Linked DNA regions of Rattus norvegicus. The protein of the gene in region 2 purifies or fractionates together with the protein of the main gene of each other region. This does not show direct contact. Links are inferred from orthologs where the notes say so. Each region holds a gene or a part of one and is shown on either strand. Other genes may lie near its edges.

Evidence for each region.
Region 1: the proteins of Copg2 (region 2) and Nudcd1 purify together in Homo sapiens (co-immunoprecipitation; 3 studies listed by BioGRID and IntAct, with this or other methods). This does not show direct contact. The link is inferred for Rattus norvegicus from reciprocal best matches to the Homo sapiens genes COPG2 and NUDCD1.
Region 3: the proteins of Copg2 (region 2) and Copa fractionate together in Homo sapiens (co-fractionation; 4 studies listed by BioGRID and IntAct, with this or other methods). This does not show direct contact. The link is inferred for Rattus norvegicus from reciprocal best matches to the Homo sapiens genes COPG2 and COPA.
Region 4: the proteins of Copg2 (region 2) and Copb1 purify together in Homo sapiens (affinity purification with western blotting; 4 studies listed by BioGRID and IntAct, with this or other methods). This does not show direct contact. The link is inferred for Rattus norvegicus from reciprocal best matches to the Homo sapiens genes COPG2 and COPB1.
Region 5: the proteins of Copg2 (region 2) and Copz1 fractionate together in Homo sapiens (co-fractionation; 5 studies listed by BioGRID and IntAct, with this or other methods). This does not show direct contact. The link is inferred for Rattus norvegicus from reciprocal best matches to the Homo sapiens genes COPG2 and COPZ1.
Region 6: the proteins of Copg2 (region 2) and Copb2 fractionate together in Homo sapiens (co-fractionation; 4 studies listed by BioGRID and IntAct, with this or other methods). This does not show direct contact. The link is inferred for Rattus norvegicus from reciprocal best matches to the Homo sapiens genes COPG2 and COPB2.

Annotation. Positions count from the first base shown.
Region 1 is NC_086025.1:77,470,576-77,474,075, forward strand, and holds part of Nudcd1 (nudC domain-containing protein 1), read right to left. Parts: intron 2,736-3,500; coding exon 2,581-2,735; intron 1-2,580.
Region 2 is NC_086022.1:60,413,454-60,416,953, forward strand, and holds part of Copg2 (coatomer subunit gamma-2), read right to left. Parts: intron 2,068-3,500; coding exon 1,981-2,067; intron 976-1,980; coding exon 818-975; intron 1-817. UniProt on the Homo sapiens protein: The coatomer is a cytosolic protein complex that binds to dilysine motifs and reversibly associates with Golgi non-clathrin-coated vesicles, which further mediate biosynthetic protein transport from the ER, via the Golgi up to the trans Golgi network.
Region 3 is NC_086031.1:87,106,368-87,109,867, reverse strand, and holds part of Copa (coatomer subunit alpha), read right to left. Parts: intron 2,208-3,500; coding exon 2,068-2,207; intron 1,332-2,067; coding exon 1,246-1,331; intron 1,170-1,245; coding exon of another isoform or gene 1,143-1,169; coding exon 1,004-1,142; intron 166-1,003; coding exon 3-165; intron 1-2. UniProt on the Homo sapiens protein: The coatomer is a cytosolic protein complex that binds to dilysine motifs and reversibly associates with Golgi non-clathrin-coated vesicles, which further mediate biosynthetic protein transport from the ER, via the Golgi up to the trans Golgi network.
Region 4 is NC_086019.1:177,848,841-177,852,340, forward strand, and holds part of Copb1 (coatomer subunit beta), read right to left. Parts: intron 2,262-3,500; coding exon 2,101-2,261; intron 1,047-2,100; coding exon 926-1,046; intron 1-925. UniProt on the Homo sapiens protein: The coatomer is a cytosolic protein complex that binds to dilysine motifs and reversibly associates with Golgi non-clathrin-coated vesicles, which further mediate biosynthetic protein transport from the ER, via the Golgi up to the trans Golgi network.
Region 5 is NC_086025.1:136,286,985-136,291,056, reverse strand, and holds the start of Copz1 (coatomer subunit zeta-1), read right to left. Parts: upstream 2,801-4,072; 5' UTR 2,752-2,800; coding exon 2,734-2,751; intron 1-2,733. UniProt on the Homo sapiens protein: The coatomer is a cytosolic protein complex that binds to dilysine motifs and reversibly associates with Golgi non-clathrin-coated vesicles, which further mediate biosynthetic protein transport from the ER, via the Golgi up to the trans Golgi network.
Region 6 is NC_086026.1:108,039,486-108,043,486, reverse strand, and holds the start of Copb2 (coatomer subunit beta'), read right to left. Parts: upstream 2,801-4,001; 5' UTR 2,714-2,800; coding exon 2,711-2,713; intron 1-2,710. UniProt on the Homo sapiens protein: The coatomer is a cytosolic protein complex that binds to dilysine motifs and reversibly associates with Golgi non-clathrin-coated vesicles, which further mediate biosynthetic protein transport from the ER, via the Golgi up to the trans Golgi network.

The DNA.
Region 1 (3,500 bases), on a different chromosome or scaffold from region 2:
ATTTGGCTTATGTCTTCACATTACATTTTATCATCAAAGGAATTCAGGAACTCAAGCAGAGCAGGAACCTGGTGGGAAGAGGCCAAAGGAGTTCTTACTTGCCTGCTCATTCTGATTTCCTATAGAATTTAGAACTTCCCACCCAGGGATGGCAACACATACAATGGGCTGAACCATCTCCAATCAGTAACTAAGAAAACTAACTAACTAACTAACTAACTACAGGCTTGCTACAGTTTGATTAATGGAGCCTTTTTTAAATTGCGGTTTCCTCTCTGATGACTTTAGCTTGTTGTCAAGTTGACATAAAACTATCTATCACAGCCCTATATCAGATGTGTAGTCGGCAGAAATCTTTTCCCATTGTATACACTGCCATTTTGTTCCAAGGGACAATGTCCTTTATAGTGCAGAAACTTCAATTTCATGAGGTCCCATATATTAATTGTTGATATTAGTGCCTGTGTTAACTGTGTCCTGTTCAAAAAGTCTTTTACTGTCCCAGAGAGTTCAAGGCTATTGTCCAACTTTCTCGTCTATCAGATCTCATGTATTTGGTTTTATGTTGAGGTCTTTGGAGTTTTGTACAGGGTGATAAATATCTGGGTTCTTCTACATGTAGACAGTTTGAGCAGCATGGTTTACTGAAGATGCTGCCTTGTGTCCATATGTGTATGTACTTATGTCTGGGTCTTCTATTCTATTCTATTGGTGTCTGTTTTGTGCCAGTACCATGCTGTTTTTATTACTATAGCTCTATAGTACAACTTAAAATCAGGAATGATGATACCTCCTGCACTCCTTTTATCATTAAGTATTGTTTAGTTATCCTGGGTTTTTTGTTTTTTGTTTTGTGTGTGTGTGTGTGTGTGTGTGTGTGTGTGTGTGTGTGTGTGTGTGTGTGTGTATGCGTGTCCATATAAAGCTAATACTGTCTTTTCAAGATCTGTGAAGAATTGTGTTTGAATCCTACTAACTCATGAGCATAGGAAATCTTTCTATTTTGATATCATTTTCAATTTCTTTCTTCAAAGACTCAAAGATTTTATCAAATAAATGTTTACATGCTTTGTTAGTTATCTCAGGACATTTAATATTATTTGAGGCTACTATAAAAGGTACTTACCTGATTTCTTTCTTAATCTGTTTATCATTTGTATATAGGAAGGCTACTGATTTTTGTGATTTAAATGAAGGCATTTCTAAAAGGCAAATTCTTAGCACTAAGTGCCTACATTAAAAAAAAAGAGAAAGAGAAATCTAATACTAGAAACTGAATAACACACCTAAAAGCTCTGTAACAAAAAAAGAAGAAGAAGAAGAAGAAGAAGGAGAAGGAGAAGGAGAAGGAGAAGGAGAAGGAGAAGGAGAAGGAGAAGGAGAAGGAGAAGGAAGGAGAAGGAGAAGGAAGGAGAAGGAGAAGGAGAAGGAGAAGGAGAAAAGAAGAAGAAGAAGAAGAAGAAGAAGAAGAAGAAGAAGAAGAAGAAGAAGAAGAAGAAGAAGAAGAAGAAGAAGAAGAAATAATCACACCCAAAAGGAGTTAATAGCAGGAAATAATCAATCACAGAATTATTATTGATAATCGATTCCTGAACTCAGAAAAACAGAAACAAATACAACAAGCAAAACAAACAACAACAAAAACAATACCAAGGGTCAATGGAACAAAGAGTTGGGTTTTTTTTTTGAGAAAAATCAATAAGATTGACAAACCATTATCCAAATTAACTACTAGTTATTTATGAGATACACTTTAACCCTTTTAAAGTAAAATAATACTGATATATTTAAAAAAAAACAGAAAACACACACTTTGTGTGTGTTCCTGTGCATATGCACATACAAGTACTCGTGTTTGTATGTACATGGAACCTAGAGGTCAACCTCTGGTGATGTTCTTCTAGCTCTGTCCACTACTGCAAGCTCCAGGGATGTGCTTATCTCTGACTTATCAGAGTTGAGACTACAAGTGACTGCTATCCCCACCAGGGCTTGCAATATAGACTCTAGATACAGAACTCAGATCCTGGTGAGGTTTTAGCACAGGCTTTCAAAGAACAATTAATGTTAATACTCATCAAATTATTCCACAACATAGAAACAGAAGGAATATTACTGACTGAAAATTTTCCCTGGGCCAGGATATCAGTTTTTAAATCAGTTATGACTGTATTAATATAAGGCAAACAAGATTTGAAGGCAAAACTATTTCTAAGACCTAAAGGGAAAAAAAAAGAATATTTCATAATATAAAAGGGATCAACATAAATAACCAAACCTAAATGTTAACATAGTTCAAAAACATAGTGTAAACACCAACTAAAATGGAAAAGAAGAAATCTATTATTATATTGAGGATATACCATACAAGTGGAAATGGATGGGTGAAGGAGATTACAATAAAACAAGAAGATAAAAGTTATAACTGAGGTAAGCAGAAGGGAGCCTAACACAGTTTGATGACAGACTTCCACATTGCAAAGGTCTGTGCACCTTGACTACCTGGACATCAGATTCAGACATTAAAGAGTAAGAAAAACAGGATGAGCTCTGTCCTTACACTCTGCATGTGTCTCTTACCAGCATCACTGTTAAGTTCATAATTCTTCCAAGGTTATCAATGTAGTAGACACTGTCTTGGTACCAGGCATCACAGTGCAGATAATTATACATTCCAAAAGCATGCATGTGTTCCAATGTATACTGGTCATCCCGAAGTTTTACTTCTGCCACAGCTGAAAGACAAATATATATAAAAATATATTCACATATATCTATATGTATGTATAAATATAAACATAGTCATCAAATCTTGCATCTCAGATCATTACTTTCTGCAGAATGCCTACAGGGCACAGAAACCAGTCAATGCCAACTGCAGAGGCTACAACAGGTAGGGCTTTTGTAGCACAATCCTTTTCTTTTATTCATTTCTACAATTTTAATTACAAAAGTAGACATCTTATGGGCAAACAAGTGACTATTGATAAAGTGTTTTTATGCTTTTTAAAACATCTTTATCACACATAATGAAAAACATAGTGTCTTTATTGATTATACAGTTAGAAAATTGTGTATAAACACAAATAGGTAAGTTCAGCATCATACTCCATCTTTCCCAATTATATGAAATAAAACAATATCATAGTTAGGATGTACTCGAACTTTTCTATGTATAGAATACACTCTCACAACCAAAACATTAGCTGTTTTCCTAATTCTGAATTGGCAAAATATGGTCTCTCCTTCACACTGTACTATTGGTACAGTTCCAAACTCTTGCAGCTCAGGACTGCTCATGTTGTACAATTAATTAATGTTGTAACAAGAAATATTAAGTGTCACTGAGCCTACATGTTACATTAATATAAAACTTACTTTAATTCTATTCTCAATGCAACAATTTTCTTCTTTACCTATTTCTATAATTTGCATTCTGTTGCTATTCCAAATACCATAACCAAAAGCAACCTCAGAGAGGGAGGGGTTAATTCCAGCTT
Region 2 (3,500 bases):
ATCTGCAATCCCAGCACTTGGGAGGCTGAGGCAAGAAAGGCCAACCTGGAGAGATACTGTCTATAAATTAAAAAGGGAAAGCCATAAGCCATTTAGGGCGAGGACGCTTCTTATTTGCTCCAAGTTTATTATACCTTGAAAGATCCCTATCCTCTTCCTGCCTCCTTCTAGCCTCTAGGACTGCTAAGGTATTGCTGGGAAGTTCACCTATAACTCACACTTACACAGTGATCTTGGGCAAATTACTCTTATATTTTTGGTTGTGAGCCTAGCCTTTAACGGCTGAGCCATCTCTCCAGCCCTTGGGCAAATTACTCAATTTAGCATTTCAATATTTTCTCTTATACAAGATGATTTTTAATGTCCCTCCTGATTATCATATTCGATTATCTATATATAACTTAGGACCTACACATTTTACCTCTGGTATCAGTTCATAAATATATTATTAGTAATCACTCCATATATGAGCATATATAAAGGTAAAAAAAAATACTGTGTTACTTAGAATCCTCAATTTCTTTTTCTTTTTATTTGTTTGTTTGAGATAGGGTTTCTGCATAGCTCTGACTGTCCTGGAACTCATTCTATAGACCAGGTTAGCTTCAAACTCAAGAGATCCACCTGCCTCTGCCTCCCGAGTGCTGGGATTAAAGCAGGCACCACCATGCTCAGCTGTCAAGCCAATTTCTTTGTAATTTGGAAATTATTAAACTGATCTGTAAAGTCAGTGCTACCCTAAAATATTCATAAATAAAATAAATTCTAAGGAAATATTAACTTGTAAATAGCAACCAACTCAGTTTAGGATACTTACCCATCCTCGCTTTCTTTCAGTAAGCGACTAGCAATCCGAATCAGCATACAGTATGCAAACTGTGATTTGAGACCAGACTTGGTAAACTTATTTAGCATCTTGGAGACAGCAAGCCGATCATTCTTCCGGAGGTGATAGAGCACTCCCAATGCATGGTACTAAGAACAAGAAAGAGTGCAACATGAGCTTAGGGAGACAGCAAGACACCTACAGGCAAGACAACTGCATGGAACTAGACAAAAGATTGTTTTCAAAAAAGATATACAAGTAAAAAAGACAAAATACAGTATCTTTTTTTATATGAAACTAAACACCAGAATCACTAAGAAAAAAAGAGAGAGTGTGTAATGTACTCCAGAAGTTGTAAATTCAGAGCAGCCAGTAAGAAAGGAGTTGCATACAACCTAAAAGCAGATCTAGTGGGTTTAACAATGGCTCACACCCTCAGATCTAACTTCCACAGAGACGGGGTTTTCCTATGTTTCAAACTCATGGGCTCAGGTGATTCTCCCACCTCAGGCTCCTGAGTGCTGGGACTACAAGTACATTCCTACAAGTGTCGCCAGCTTAATAAAAGGAGAGGAGAGTACCATCACCATGACACTTGTATGATAGTACACTGGCAGACTTAGACCAATAGGTGTCTCAAGAGGAAGTGACTGTTTCACATTATTAAATATGCTAATGTAAGAAAATATAAACATTAATACTTTTTCAAAGACAGAGATTTCACATAAAACTACCAGTTAGACTTTTGATAATATTCCTTTAGATAATAGCTTAATAAATATCATAAGCTCTTTCTAAAAGATTTCAATATTTTTGTATAGCAAAAATGGCTGATGTTTTTACACTACTAACAAGGCATAAGAAACAGTTTCCTTTTACATAAATTATCTTTCAAATAAAAGGCCAAAATGCACTGTGAATCCCTCTGGAATAAGCATTTCTATCTACTACTGTAAAGGGAATTTTTCTTGAACATTCCTACTGGAGGTCACTTATCTTCTACCAAACAGAAAACCAATAGAAATAATAAAACTTTGTATGCTGCCTACTTGATAGTATATACTTATAAGTGGATTAATATGTTAAAAATTAGCCTTTACTGCTGGATAATCAATACTTTCTCCTGACACATAAAATTATATCAAAGACAGTACCTGCACCATGATATTGTCACTTGATGCAGCTTCTTGGGCTTCATTTATCCATCGTTTAACCACATCATAGCTTATCTTCATCATATGCTAAATTAAAATGGGAGAATATATAATGCATGATCACTAGACACTAGAAATGCAAGTTAAATTTCTTGCAAAAATTACTAAAGATATTTCCCAAACACAGAAAATACTGCTGCTTTTTAAGTCTACATTGTCTCTACTCTAAGGCAACTATAAACTGAAGTTTTCTTCTTTAACATCTCTTTGCAAAGTAATAGAAACCTACACATTCGTGAGCTGAAAGAGACAAGGAAAAGAAAGCCACGAAAGGGGAAGAAGAGAAGCATTAAATAAAATGGCTCTTAAGGAACGTTAACATTAGCTTGACTTCAGGAAATTCCCCTGAAGAAGAAACAGTACAACATGCTCCTTGATCTAAAACCTGTTCCATGACATTCTAGAATCAGGCAGTCTGCTCTAATGATTTGTATGGATGTGTGGGTAAGTATGTCTGTTCATGGAGGTGGGGGTGTGTGTAGAGGATAGGGGTCAAGCTTGTTTTTGAAGCACAATCTCTCACTGGGATCTGGGGCCTGACAATTGTCTAGGCTGACTGGCTGGTGAGCTACAGGAATCTGCCTGTCCCCACCTCCCCGGAGCTGGGATTACATGTCACCATACAAGTTTTTTTTATGTAGGTTCTGAGACTATGTCCTTATGTTTACTAGCAAGCGTTTCACTAACCAAGCAATCCCTAGTCCCTTATTAACTGACTTTAATCAAATGCAATGTGTTAAGATTTTTAAAGAATATATTTTTTGGGAGCAAGAGAGATGGTTCAGCAGTTAAGAGCACTGACTGCTCTTCCAGAGGTCCTGAGTTCAGTTCCCAGCAACCACATGGTGGCTCACAACCATCTGTAATGGGATTTGATGCCCTCTTCTGGTGTGCCTGAAGACAGCTACAGTGTACTCACAAACATAAAATAACTTAAAAAATAATACATTTTTGTTTTGATGAAAGGTGAAGGAAAAGCTATTACTGAAACAAAAGATCACTTCTTTTTCTTTCTTTTTTTTTTTCTTTTCTTTTTCTCAGAGCTGGGGACCAAACCCAGTGCCTTACCACTGAGCTAAATCCCCAACACTTCTTGAAATTCAGAGGTAATAAGGAAGACTTTAAAGGACACAGATGGATACTAGAAATGAAGGGAAGCTGAGAACAAGATGTTGGAGGTAAACATAAGAGCACAGAGGAGGAACTTAAAACTAGCCCCTGTTTCTCCACCGTCATTACTCCTATCCTTCTAAGTATCTTTAGTCCCCAAAGCTTCTAAACACCAACATTCAAGTTTTTACTGCCCATTATAACTGCTGAGTGTTTTCCCAAATAGAATACAGTTGGATAAAGTAACAGGATACACACGCATTTTTAACTGATTCTCTTGTAAGAGAACAACAGTAATAAGTTATTTTTAAACTAGACACTAGACCACACATAAGAAACAAAAAGCTGCC
Region 3 (3,500 bases), on a different chromosome or scaffold from region 2:
ACCTCATCATACTTCCTGTTGATCAGGGCCAGTTTGAACTTGAATTCGGTGGGGTCAATGGTGAGCACCCGAGGACGACACTCCCTGTCCAGGCAGTATACGTTATTGCCCTTCACTCTTGTGACATAGATGGGCAAATCCAGAGTTCGGATGATCCCATGGTCCCTAGGAAGAGGGGATAAAAGGCACAATTTTCAGAAGGGAGAAAATCCAGCTTGTAAAAATGAATAAAGTTGAAATAGTATTTTCTCATTTTCCTTTCATCAAGTGCTACTTACACACTGATACAGACAAAAAGTGTTTCAAAACGATTTAATTCTTTTCTATGACAGAACATATGCTATGAACCTTTTATTTTTTTTGCAGTTTGAGTTATTGAGTCTAGAGCCTTGGGCATTCTAGGAAAGCATGCTACCAATGACTAGCCTCCCTTCAAAAATAAAAAACTCATAATTATGTATGTGAGCATTCATTATGCAGTATAGATGTGCATGCTGCAGTGATCTGTGGCGGTCAGAGGACAGCTCTTGGCACTCAGCTCTCTCCGCCCACCATATAAGGACTCTGGGGTCAAACTCACGCCTTGTTTTTAACCTGCTGAGCTATCTCACTGGCCCCTCCCCAGTCCTTTACAATGTTTCCCTAAATTTTGAAATTTTTTTATTTTATGTGTGTACACAATGCAGGTGTGTGTGGGGGCTACAGGAAAACTCTCAGGACCTGGTTCTCTCCTGCCATTTGAGGAACCTGGGGATTGAATTCAGGTTGTCTGACCTTAGAGAAACTGCCTGAGTCACTGAGTCAGCACAGAGAGACAGAGAGAGAGAGAGAGAGAGAGAGAGAGAGAGAGAGAGAGAGAGAGAGAGAGAGCCCTATAGTACATATATGCCCTGTTGGCTCTTTTATGAAGAAAGTTAACGGAGAACTGCGGTTAAATCTCTTGAGTTAGCACAGTGATCGCAGGAAGCCACCTTCTCCCACTTGTCCCAGATAATTAACTTACCCAGTGGTGACAGCATATTTGATGTGGTTGCTTGTGGTATAGATAAACACCCCACTTTCATCCCAGGCCCCACTCTTGACACGAATGTTCTCATGAATGTTACACAGAGCATCCAGCTTGCGGTTACAGATCACAATGGCTGTAAGAGGCAAAGGGCATGAGTGCTCTGTTGGACAGGGTGAGTGCAGTAAACTGGCAGGGAGGAAGTGGCCTCTAAGACGGTGGATATAATGAAGCCTTACCATGCTTGGCCAGGAGTGCAACATGAGACATGTCTGCCGACCAGATAACATATTTCACCTTGGAAATCTTCACTGATGCCAGAGTTCTGGGATAGCAAGAGAAAGGGAATCATGAATGGGCCTAATTGTGTTGTCTCAAGCTATGACCTATGCCGTTTCCATCTTTAATTAATGCAGAACTCAACTTCTCAATGTAATATCAGAGAAACACTGCCTACGCTGTAGGTCAGTAAGCTAAATGCTTTGGTTCACACTCTGCACTTCCTCTTCCTCCCTCTCTGCCGCCCCGTTCCCTCCTATATTAGGCCTTTGTCTCTATCAATTTTCACCACTGGACTTACTAAGTTCTTTAAGAACAGGAACTGTGCTATTCAACTTTGTGTTCTTCCCATCCCCAGACCCAAACCCATTCTTTAAAGATAGCTCAATGTCTGGTAGCCCTGGCCACGCTGCTAGAACGCATGCACTCGGGGGCAGGATAGACAGGGAAAGGGAAAAGGATCGCAAACAGCCTCGCAGTCGAGTGTGTAAGCAGCAGCGAGGCCATGTGGCAAGATTAGAAAACCCCCCTATTAAAGACCCCCACTCTCGGGCTGGAGAGATGGCTCAGTGGTTGGGAGCACCAACTGCTCTCCCAGAGGTCATGAGTTCAATTCCCAGCAACCACATGGTGGTTCACGGCCATCTGTGATGGGGTCCGATGCCCTCCTCTGGTGTCTGAGGACAGCTACAGTGTACTTGTATATGATAAATAAATAAACCTTTAAAAAAAAAAAAAAAGACCCCCACTCTCCCTCATTACAAGTTTGTCTGCCATGTTACCGCTTCTGCTGGACATCAAAGAGTGTGATGGAATCTGCATCCCGAAGCAGGAGGTTGCCTGTACCAGCATAGAAGATTTCATCACAGTTGGGCACCTGGATTTTCTTGGTGATCTCATTTTTCAGGTTTTTAATCAGAAGCTGAAATGAATATGGGTGGAGTCATGAGAAGTAAATAGATAAGGTAACCACTAATGATGTCCCCCAGCAATTGCTCCTTTAGTAAAGAAGTTTGTCCCTTATCCAAGTCATTTATACATCAGGTTGACTACTAATACTCTCTCCAGGGCCTCACAGTATTCATTCATTCATTCATTTGTGTGTGTGTGTGTGTCTGTGTGTGTGTTTCTGCGTGCGCTCGAGAATGTGTGGGTACATATATTATATGTCATGGTGCCCAAGTGTGTGGGTCAGAGGACAAATAGAAGAACTCAGTTCTCTCCTCTTACACATGGGACCTAAGGACTGAATTTAGGTCATCTACTTTGGTGATAAGGGTTCTTATCCACTAAGACATCTCATTGACCTCTAACCTCTCTCCTTTAGAGAGAGGGGGTGGGGTGGGGAGAGAATCTGGAGAAAAGGTTCAGCAGTTAAGAGCACTGACTTCTCTTCCAGAGTTCCTGAGTTCAATTCCTAACAACCATGTGGTGGCTCACAACTATCTGTAATGAGGTCAGATGTCCTCTTCTGGTGTTTCTGAAGACAGCTATAGTATATTCATATACATTACATAAGTAAATAAAACCTTAAAAGGGGAAGGCGCTAGAGAAATGGCTCAACTGCTGAGAGCACTGGCTGTTCTTCCAGAAGACCCAGGTTTAAATCCCAGCACCCACATGGCAGCTCACAACTATCTGTAACTCCAGCTACAGATGCAATATCCTTACACAGACATACGTGCAAGGAAAATACCAATGTACATAAGATAAGAAGAAAAGAAAGGCAATCCTAAAAGGCTGGGTCTCATAGCGCAGGCCTGTAATCTCAGCCACTTGGGAGGCTGAGCCCTGTCTTGGCTGCAGAGTGAGTTCATTCCTAGTCTAGGCAGTTTCTCACCAGACTCAGTGAGACCCTCAAAATTACAAAAATGAACAAGTTAAAATGAAAGCCTTGCATGAACAAGGCCCTAAATTCAATCCCCTGTACTTAAAAATAAGCAAACAAAATATTCGCCTAGATCTGAGTTTCTCAACTAGAAAGAAAATAGTCAAAATTTAGGCTTTTGTTGAGATTTTAATGGAAGACCCTTGCTTATCTTGCATTGAGCCTATCACAGGTATGCAAGTATGTATGTATGTATGTATGTATGTATGTATGTATGTATGTATGTGCATATTGTGTATGCATTTCTCCTCCCAGGCAAAGGGATTAAAGGTGTGTATCACCATCTGGCTCTCTAAATCTATTACATTTTAGGTACCAATTAGGGGA
Region 4 (3,500 bases), on a different chromosome or scaffold from region 2:
CCCAAAGCTCAGAGGAAACATGAAGAAAACCACATTAAGCCATGGACAAATTAAACTGCTAAAACCCATGATAAGAATAATATAAAACCAGCCATGGGCAGGCAGGAGTGATAGAAGATTTCTCACTAGGAAGGCAGAAGACAATGGAGCTATACAGTGCTGGGAGAAAAGAATGCCAACCGGGAACTCAAATTTTACAAAAACATGTGGAAGGGGTGGAGGGAGATGGCGCAACTGGTAGAACCCTTGCAACCTACGTGTGAGGACCTGTGTCCAGACCTACGTCACGATCTGTGGTCCAAGGACACTCCTCTCCACACAGGGTGAAGAAGGGAAATGGCACAGACAGAGGCATGCTGATGAGACGGAGAACAACAGGCGCCCACCTCTGTACGAGCAGAGCTAAGGGTACTCACTGGACACTGCAAGAAACCTGGGTCCTTAACTGATAGCCACAAACATTCTCCTATCATTTAAAAGTGATGCAACCAATCCTGAGGACATCAATTTGGACTCTTAAAATAAAAACAGTTGGATGCTTAAATTACAAATTAAATATTACAAATACAACTAGGAAGGGTTAAAAAAAATGAGGAAGTGTTTGTCACATGCTGAGTGAAAATGAGCTTTATAAAGTACAAAAGATAAAATAGACAATAAAAAATGCTAATGAGAAAAGGCCACTGCTTCCATTGGCTGACTAACCCCGGCCTTCAGAAGTGACTCCATAACTCCTCACACCTCCTTCATCAGACTAATCATAGTATTTCTGAGTTTCTCTGTCAATATTTTAGTCATGTTATGTGTCTACTGTGACTGTTTCCCCTACTAACACCTGTAGCATTAACTTTGAAGTTTTTCACTGTTCAATAGAGTAGATATTTAGTAACCAATGACTGTACAAATACAGAATAAATGAACATACGTTTTGCTTTTTCTTCTCCTGAACCAATGCTACATAGCGTAATGCAATCTTGGTCAGAGTTGTGGCAAGGGAGGCAGCAACAAAGAAATCTCCATCCAGGAGGAATCCTCTCAAGGGTGGTCTGCAAAGGAATCAACAAACATGAAATACCACAATTTTTTTTTTAAATGGATAGTTACATTTCAAATGTTATCCCCTTTCCCGGTTTTTCTTCTCTCATCCCCTCTCCCCCTACTTCTGTGAGGATGTTCCCCCTCCCACACACCCTCTCTCCTCCACACACCCTTAAGTAGCACGTAGCTTTTGAATAAATGGTTCAGGTAAGCTACTGATTTCCTGTTTGGTGAGAAGGACCTCAGTTACATTCCTCACTAGTTTTCAAAATGAAAAAGAAGAATATGTAACTAATACTTTTCTTAAATAACTCAGCAGTCCAAAGAACAGAAAGAAAAGGATGTTGAATTAAGGATAGATGCACTGGAGCTAAAATGCGACTCCTGAGTGTGGGCTTATGTACTCTTTCAGAGTTGCTTACAGGGTTCTCTAGGTCTGAAATTCCTCTTGAAAATGGAGACAGTACACTCTCTGAAAGGGCTGCTGTCAAGACTGACATCAACTATTTGGTGTGGCTTCTAGTACATAAGAAGCATTCAACAACACTGTACCATCCTTTTTCTCATCATCGTCTCATAAACACGGACAGCAAAACAAAGAGGTGAACAACTGAAATGTTACTTATCAGTCAGAGCTGGACGGTTTGTACTGAGACCATAGCTCCAATGGCAGAGCACTAACCCAGCATGTGAGCGGCCCTGAGTGCTAGCTAGTGCAGGAGAAATGTATAATAAAGGAAAGAAAGAGAAAGCAAAGAAACAGGGAAAACTTCAAAATATCTTTCTGATACTAACAAGCAGTCAGACTTAAATTTATACACAGCACATCCTATGTGAGTAAAGTAAGTTTTATAAGAATATTTACTTCAATGGGAATAGTAGGAACGGAAGACTAAATTTACAGAGACCATTCACAGGGAAACCTTACACACATACCTTATTTCAAGACCTTAAATGGTAAATACTTTTACTTAAGCATCAAAAACTAGTAAGAGAAACCACAGCTGCTTCACCACAAGAGGGCAGTGCAGCCATTCAGCCAGCAGGGCGCAAAAGCGTTACCTGTCCTCTTCTTTCTTGGTAGGTCTAGAGCTGCTGAGTGCACTCTGAGTAGCATAGGTGCCCATCTCTGTAACCAATTTCTGAACGGGCCCAACAGTTATTTCTTCTTCTGGTTTTAACTCGCCAGCTTCTTTCTTTATTTCTGATTCTACGATTGGGATCTAAAAGCCAAATGGAAACAATGATTTAATAATATCAGCAGTAAAGTTACACTGAGGTAGTCAATCAACTTTATACAAAGGCATTTGGACTGTGGAGCTCTGTGGAAGAACAGAAGGTTAAAAGTCAATGATTCTGATGTGAATTCCCACACCACCACTGACTACTTGTATCATACTGAACAATATAATTGTGAGCCTCATTTCTGAATCTATTAAGGGGGAATCTTAGTTCTTTCTGAACAATTCATCAACAGAAAAATGAACAGGATAGTGTTAGCAAAGTAGATGCTCTATGGGCCTCACTCCTCCTCTTTGTCTCTTCCCTGGAAATACGAACCAAGCCAATACTCATCCTTCTAAAACAAAATGCCAAAGTAACTTCCCCAGCCACCCTGTTAGCTGATCACAGGGTTGCTACAGCTTGTTTGACAACATGCTGGCTTAAATTTCTCTAAGAGTCTTTAATTAAGCCTACTCTATGTCTTTTATTTTAGAGATGAAAAAAAGTTTAGGTAGTTAAGGAACTTAAAGTGAAGGTCTCAGAGTTGATTCCTGACAGTAATTAGTAAAGAACCCAGGTCTCCCGACAAAGTAGTCCATTGTTCTTTGTATTCTACCATGAAGCTGTTTTGGTGAAGGAATATTCCAATGTTAGTACATAAACAGTCTCGAGTCAGTCTTGTTCTGAGACTTTCAAAGCCCTTTCAAAGCACATCAGCAACAGCACAGTCTGTAGCTATTGCCAGGCATGCTGCATCTTTAATGCCAACACTCAAGAGCTAGAAGCAGGTACATCAGTAGATCTTTGAGTTCAAGGCCAGTCAAATCTATACATCGAGTTTCAGGCCAGTCAGGGCTATATAGTGAGACCTGATCTCAAAAAAGAGAAAAAAAAGAAAAAAAAGAAAAAAAAGCCAACAGTGGTGGTGCATGACTCTAATCCCAGCACTTAAGGTGTAGAGAGAGGCTAGCTTAGTCTATAAATTGAATTCCAGAATAGCTAAGGCTACACAGAGAAAGCTGGTCTTGAAAAACAACAACAACAACAACAACAACAACAACCCCCCACCCTAAAAAAGAAAGAAAGAAAGAAAGAAAGAAAGAAAGAAAGAAAGGGAAAAAAAAGAATAGCTGCACATTCTGCTAAAACAAAATCTTACCCAAAGATAAACAAATAATTATTTGAACAAATGTTAACAGTTCTCATGGAGGCAGGGGGAGGGGAGCCACTTTTAATTT
Region 5 (4,072 bases), on a different chromosome or scaffold from region 2:
AGGACTACATAATGAGACCCAGTCTCAAAAATAAATGAATGAATGAATAAATAAATAAAGTTGGAAAGAACACAGAAGTAGAAAAGAAAAAGACACTAGTTTAATCCTCAAGAACTCTAAAAATCAGCACAAAAACTAATACCTGTAGGTTTGGGATTTATTTATTTATTTATTTATTTATTTATTTATTTATTTATTTATAGATAGGCTCTCTCTACATAGTTTTGACTGTCTGGGAACTCACTAAGTAGACCAGGCTGGCTTCAGACTCTCAGACATCCTCCAGCCTGTGCCTGCCAAGTACTGAGATTAAAGGTGGGAGCCACAATCTATAGATTCCTGTAAGTATTTTATCAACAAAAACTTTATACAACCCATGGCTGAAAGGAAAATCCTGCAAACTAAAGAGGTGTAAGAACCTACAGAAACTTCAGAAACCTAGTGAGGCCGGGAAGTGACAAATTCAGGCCCAGTCCAGGCTACATAATGAGACTGTATCAAAAAGAAAAAAGAAAAAAAAAAAAAAGATTTGTTCTGAGAGAACAAGGAAAGTAAAATGGAATGGAGTTTTGGCACTGCCCTTCCTTAGGAAGAGTCTTTTCCTACAGCTCTGCATCCCTAAACCCAACACATAAGGTGCTTGTGACAAAGACCTGGTACAGTTTTTAAAGTAAAAGTATGGGGTTTCCAGCAAGGGTCTGTTACTACATGCAGCTGGTGAGCTCAGCCGAAAGGTAAGAATGAGGAAGAGGCAGGGTGAGACAGACTACCCAGTGCAAGAAGAGACAGAAAAGGGAGAGAAAATGACACAGAGATTACCCCATACAACTTCAGCTCTCCCAGGGCTAGGGGCCGAACACAGGGCCTTTAAAGTCAGCTAGACCATGTGCTCTTGGCATAGCATTACACCCAGCCCAACAGAACCAACGGTAAAGGAGCTCCCCAAGTATCACCTTCCTCACTCTTTAAGCTGGTTCAACTAAATTACATTAATTTTGGTTTTATGAGACAAGGTCTTATTTTGTAACCCAGGCTGGCCTCAAACTAGCAACAATATGGCCTCAACCTGAGTGCTGGGGTTACATATGTGAGCCACCACACCTGACTAAAAAGGCTAAAAACATCCAAGAAAACCAATTTTACAAACTCTACCCACATCTGTCACAAGATTTTAAAAAACAGTAAAAATACAGTAAATACTTGAACTACTCAAGACATTTTGCTTCAACTTATCCAACTCACATGATGAGAATAAATTCTCTTTGACATTTGAAAGAAAGAAGGTTTGGACAGATAGGCCAGTGGTTAAAAGTGCTTGTCATACAAATAAGAAAACCAAAGTTCAAATTCCCACATAAACACCAGGTGAGAATGGAGGAGGTCTGTCCTTGGCTACATGGCAAAGTTGATTCCAGTCAGACCTTATGAAACCTTCAGTCAAAAAACTAAAACGAGCTGGAGTGGTGTCACATACCTCTAGTCTCAGCACTTGGGAGGTAGAGGCAGGTGGATCTCTGTGAGTTTGAGGCCAACCTGGTTTCATAATGAGTAGCCAGGGCACCAGAAAAGGGAAAGGGAGGTGGAGAGGGAGAGAGGGACCCTGTCTCAAAAAACTTTTTTCCTCTAAAAAAGAGAAGGAAAAACTTGGTTGTTGGTTTTTTTTTTTTCTTTTACTGACAAAGAGTTTGACATGTACACTTACAAGGAATAGAAAGGAAAACAGAAGCTAAGGAAGACTCTTGGAAACAGTCCTGGAATACAACTGAAAGGAAGAAGCTGAAAGTTAAATTCCTATACTAACATTCAGACACAGGTAGGCCTCCAAACTGCCAGCCAGTGCCTTGACAGGCGGAAATGCTCTGGCTGGGGATTTAGCTCAGTGGTAGAGCGCTTACCTAGGAAGCGCAAGGCCCTGGGTTCGGTCCCCAGCTCCGAAAAAAAGAACCAAAAAAAAAAAAAAAAAAAAAAAAAGAGGCAGTGTTTTATTTGAACAAGCAGAAGGATCAGGGGAGAAGAGAGCTAATGCACTGCTGGTATCAGTCACCTCAGTTCTCATGTAACCAAGCAGGGGAAGACAGACAAGGGGTCCTACAGTATGAGTTCCTAAAGTCTAAAGGAGGAGGGAATAGGACAGCAGAATAAGGAGTCAGAAAAAAAAATATTCCAAAATCTAGACTAGCTCTACCAAGTACTCCTGAACCTGGATGGAATGCTGACCGACTCTCAATCATGACGGGATTAAATACTAAAGATTAACAGGAAAACGAAAACAAGTTTTGTGAAGGAACAGGACATGGAACTGCCAATACGTAGTCGAATTCTGACCACCATCAGGAGAATCTGGGGCTGACAAAACACCTCTATTCTGCCGTTGCAACTTGGGGGGAAATATGGAGGTTTGGGGAAACTCAAGTAGGTATGATCCACAATGCTAACCATCAGGGAGAACTTGAACTCCCCCGCCCCCCAGGCCCCGATCCAGTGCATTCAGAATTCTCCTAAGGTCCCTGCATGTTCTCTTCAACTTTGCCACCGGCTCTTGCCTCTTCCCGGTCAGGCTTCCTACTCTAAACCGCGGCTCTGGCTCCCATGTAGGCCACACTTGCATTGCTCAGACAGCGGGAGCTTCGGCCCCGAGGCCTGCCCAGAACCCTCTCCCCGCCCCAGTTGATGAACCCCACCTCCCGGACCCCCTGGACACCACGGCGGAGCCACCGGCCCTCCAGCTCCTACCAAAATCAGCGCCTCCATCTTGCCCGTAGCTGCTGCCGACGTGGAGTCGCACAAGCGACGTCGCCGCTGATTGGCCCTGAGTCTTCGCTAGATCCCGCCCCAAAGAAGCAACATTGGGTGAAAATAAGCCAGCCTTCGCATCTGGACCAGTCAGCGTAGTCACTCGCTTCACGGACGCCAACTGTCCAGCCAGAAGAAGCGGATGTTTGATTGTCATCCGGAATTTTCAATGAAAGACCAAAACCTCAAGCGCTGAAGGGGCGGGAGGATCATTGAGGGCGGTGTTGTTTCCATGGGGAACAGAGGAAGCGATTGTTACTTTGCTATTGGTAGGAGGAAGCCACGTGATTCTGTCAGCCTCTTATTCGCACTCGCTGTAGGGGGTGCTATGTGTCTCTAACCCTTAGCATTAGCCTTGCTGAAAAGCCCTACCTGAATCCAGATTCCCAGCGCCACCATTAGGTCCTGCGGGTTATCCGCAGCTGTAGTGTCCTTGGGTCATTTCAACAACATTGAGAGTTCACCAAGTTAGCTATGGACAGTCAAGCGTTGCCTACACAAACCAAAGTCTGGAGAAGTATATCCCAGGATGTGCACGTGTCACGTACACATACCCAATAAATATTTTAAATTTAAGAGCTCATGCTCTTCTTGTGGAAAACCTGAGTTCAGTTCCCAGCTCCCACATTCCGTTGCTCAGCTCCAGACAATCTGCCTCCCACTTTCGGTCTGGGAGTCGATGCAGGAGACCTGCACTTTGATGGACAACGTTCCCCCCACCCCCATTCCCTTTGGTTCAACAGGAAATAAGATATTAGGGCATTGGAGACAAGAGAGAATGAAAGAATAAGGACCAAGGCAGAAAGGGATGAGAATGGTACATTCTGAGTGGATAAGGTAGGTTTGTAGCTGGGAATGGTGGTGTCACCTTTAATCCCAGGACTAGGGAGGCAGATCTGAGTTTGAGGCCAGCCTGGTCTACATACAGAGTTCTAGGCCAAACAGGACTACACAGTAAGACCGCGGTTAAGAGCATTCGCTGCGCTTCCAGAGGACCTGAGTTCAATTCTCATCACGTGGGGCAGGGGGGTGGGGGACGAGGAGGAGGAGGAGGAGGAGGGGGAGGAGGAGGAGGGAGAGAGAGAGAGAGAGAGAGAGAGAGAGAGAGAGAGAGAGAGAGAGAGAGAGAGGAGAGATTGAAATTTCCAGGTTTACATAATAGGGAGATTTATCAACATGATAAATAAATAAAATTTTTTTTAATGGTAAGATTTTGTTGAAGTTTGATTTCCCCGTGCCTCCGTTCCTGCCCCGAGTAAAAGCCAAAGCCACTATCCAC
Region 6 (4,001 bases), on a different chromosome or scaffold from region 2:
AAATTCAAAACATCAACTACGTCACAATTTCATGTCCATGCATGAGTGCTGTACCAGAAAATGTCATTCATGAAACTGTACTAATCCTAAACCATAATATTAAATGAGCTCTTTAAAAATAATCAGATGGGGAGGACATTTAAACTGTAGACAAGTAGTAATGCCTGATCAATAAGGGTTTACTCATGTTCATAAAGGTCTTTTGAATGTATAGAAACATACTGAAAAGTAGAACAATTTTAAACAAATTAAGCCATTAAATAGTAACAGTTTAAAACTGCCCCTTTCCAGTTAGACTCCTTCTCTGAACCGCAGACCAGAAACTGATTTGAGTGACTGTGTTCCGTTTCTCCTAGGGATGCCACCACAGAAGAAAAGTTAATTCGTTCAAAGATGCCCTGGAGCACTCTCTCTTATCCGCGCAGGTCAAATGCATGTCCCCTTCAATAAGCCTAATGCACAGCCTGAAAGCTTACTGGCCAGATGAGTCTCTGTGCTAGTGTCTTGTGCTGTTCTGTAACAATCATGAATTCAACAGAAATCTAAGGTTGCTTCTAAGCACAAATTGAGGATCTGGCAGAGATAATATCCTGAAACAAACACCTAACAAGGCGTTTATTCACCTCTTTTTGTGTCTTTGTCTACTTCTAACTTCTTTGTCTACTTCTAACTTCTTCCATGTTTGCCTCCCTCACTTTCAAAAACAACATTAGGACGGTGTTTTCTCTCTTCAGCTTTCTTGAGAACTCCTCCACTGCTGTGTGGTCCTGCCTATCTCTTATATACTCAAGCCACTATCTTCAAATCACATGCTAATTTCAGGAAAACAAACCTTTTCAATGATTTCTGAATTTTTGCCCCACTGACTACTGACATGGATTTTAACTACTTCTTTGAGCCAACAACAAGCAGGAAGTATATTATGCCAGGAGCCATAGTGGGTCTTCAACATAACATAAGCCACATATCCAAGTAAGTATGTGTGTGTGTGTGTGTGTGTGTGTGTGTGTGTGTGTGTGTGAAATAGGATTGTGAGGATAAATCCTAACAATGTTTTTAAATTGATTTTTCAAAATGGCCAGGGATCTCTGAACTATCTAGTCTAGCTGCACATACTCCAAGCAAAGACACCCATTTTAAAATGTCCATTACTGCAGGCAAGAGCTCCTGGAGTCATACTTACCATCTCAGTCATGATTAAAAAAAAAAAAAAAAAAGACATCATACCAGGTCTTAGATGATTAACCTACTCACACTGCATCCTCAACTCCAGACTTAGTTTAAATGTTGCTGCCACCACTACGCCCTCTCTGATTGGCCTAGCCAGAGGATTCCCCCCCCCCCCCCCCCCCCCCCCCGTTTATAGTACATCCACATGCACAGCTCTTCTTGCTTGTGGAGTGGATTATTTCTTAAGGGCCTGCCTCAATGCTTATCCAGGTCCTTCTCTCCACACCGTATTTACTTGGGAGCAGGGGAGGAGCAGGTAGTATAACTGAGATCCACACTACATTCAAGCCTCATCTGCAGCTCTCAAGTCAGACATACAGTATTAAGCTTAATTAGCCTCCCAGGTTTGGCTTGTATAAATGGGGATAATAATATCTCTCTTAGCATTCCGAGATTTAAAATCAGAGTTCAGTTAGAGCAGACCAGAGCAAGGCTTACAGGAACCACCATAAACATTACTCATAATTATCTACAGGCTGCTGTGACAATCAGCTGGTAAATGTTTAGCAAAATACAGGAGAGTGAGTTCTCCTATGGTGAGTGAGCAAATAAATAAATTCGTGTTTTGTACTTTTTACCGGAGACTTAAAATACAGTCATCCTTTGGTGCCTGCACATGGTTCCAGTACCCTCCACCAAACCAAAACCCTCAAGTTCAGTTATTTTAGTGCTTATAATCTACCCATGACTCCTGGTCATCTCTACATTAGTTACAACACCAATACAGGGTCAAAGTTGTAAAGAGTTGTTGTATATTATCACAAGGAGAAAAAAATAACAGCACATGTTCACACAATAGTTTTCCCCAAATGTCTTCCACCAAAAGCTGGTTCAATTTGTGGGTATGGGACTCACATACCTTGAAGAATGAAAGCAAGGTTTCACTATTAAAAATATGTCTCAAAATGAAATGAGGCAGATCTAAGGGCCTTTCCCCAAAATACCATCCTCTGTGAGCCTAGAAGGCCCAATCAACACCAGCTAGAAAACGCCGAACTGGGCCGCCAAAGCATTTGAAATTCCGCCTCTGATTCCACATACATTTAACTTTTTCCCCCCTCTGCTTAAGTTTGCAATTTGGTGTGTGCACACTATCAAACACCGCGCGCAACCTGGATTAGCAAACATCACTTCAATGACAGAATGAAGTGACTTTGTCAAAGTAGCCTTTGTCGCCCGACTCCTACCTCTAGCATTTACTTGCACTACTGGACCCACTGCAGACTGCAGGTGCACTGACAGGAGCCCTGACTGCCAGGAGAGTCGGCGGCAGCTAACTCGCAGACACCCCCCTACACTACCGTGTAACCACGGCAGCCTCCCAGTCTGGCCTTCTTCCTCCCAGGACTCCCAACGGGACAGGAGGACCCCGCCAGGCCGCAGCAGCGCAGACCGCTTCTAACTACGGCCCCTAGCCCGGAGGCCCCGGGAACCCCGTAGCCGGTAGGCTCCACTCTCTGTCCTTTGAGGCTCGACCTACCATGGCTCCGATTGTCCGAGCCCCAGCCTCTCACAGGCTCCGAGCGACACTGGTACTCAAGAACACACAGACCCACGGAGCAGTGGACCCACTGACGTGGAACTTCCGGGAAGCGGCTCTCGCGACACTCGGAACCAGGCTCTGCGCCTGCGCAAATTCTCCGTAAGGCAATCTGCGCGTAGTCCCGCCCCAGTTTCCTAGGTAACGCGGCCTTCCGCGTCTTCTGCTGCGGAGCTGTTGAGTTGGCTGTTCCGTGTATTGCTGAGGTTAGGATAGGGCGGTGACCAGCGGCCATCGGGCAGTTTACCTGCTAGCAGGTTCAGAAAGCTAAGAAGATGGAGCACGGTGCTGAATTCCTGCTTAACGCCGGCAACAGCGATGGGGCCCGGAAGCCCTATCCGAACAACATGAGCCTCTGGCGGAGAAAAGAAGGCTCTGAAACAGTGTACTCCAGCGGGCTCCGGAACGGGGCCCAGAGCGGTGTCTGGTTTGGGTGATACCGACCGAGGCGGAAGAGATGTAGGCACGTCTCCCGCCTTTGAAGCTCCGAGGAGTCCTGAGATCTTGGTTCTGGATCCTCCCGGAGTCAGTCGAGTGATTGCCCTTCAAAAAGCATCCTCCTGGTCGTTTGTGTGGTTACAGCTGAATGTATAGCCAACACCACACAGGAGTCGTTTCCATTTTATTGATTAGGAAAGTAAGGCTCAAGGAACTTGGGTTTACTGGCCAAGATGACATAGTAAGCAGTGTTGTTAGAATCTGGACTCAGGGGGATAAGCCCTGGGAGCCCCGTGCTCTATCTGTTACGCCAAAGCAGCTCTTTAATAAGTTCAATTTCAGAAAATATCACGCCCTAAGAATCGCCAGGAAAAGTGCAAATGCACTGTGTACCGATTTCCACACACACACACACACACACACACACACACACACACACACACACACACACCTTTTAAAAAGCAAATGCTATGAAACAATGGAACTTGCCCTTTGCTGCTTATAAACCTCTGGTGGAGAAAAGCCTAGGTTTCCAGAAAGGAGGTGTTTTCATTAGTTCCTGGCTCTTGGGAGATTTATGCGCCTCGATTTTCATGTACAAAAAGTTGGGTAGTTTCCAAAGATCCACCTTTACTCTTTTGTCTCAGTAAAAACAAATTTTCTCTCAGTAATGAGATTTTACGTGAGTGAGATGAATAATCACATAATTGCACACCGTGCAGTAACCAATTGCAAAGCTCAGTTGAAAATGTTTTAAACGTGAACTATAATCTAGTGTGGTAGAATAGTGGAG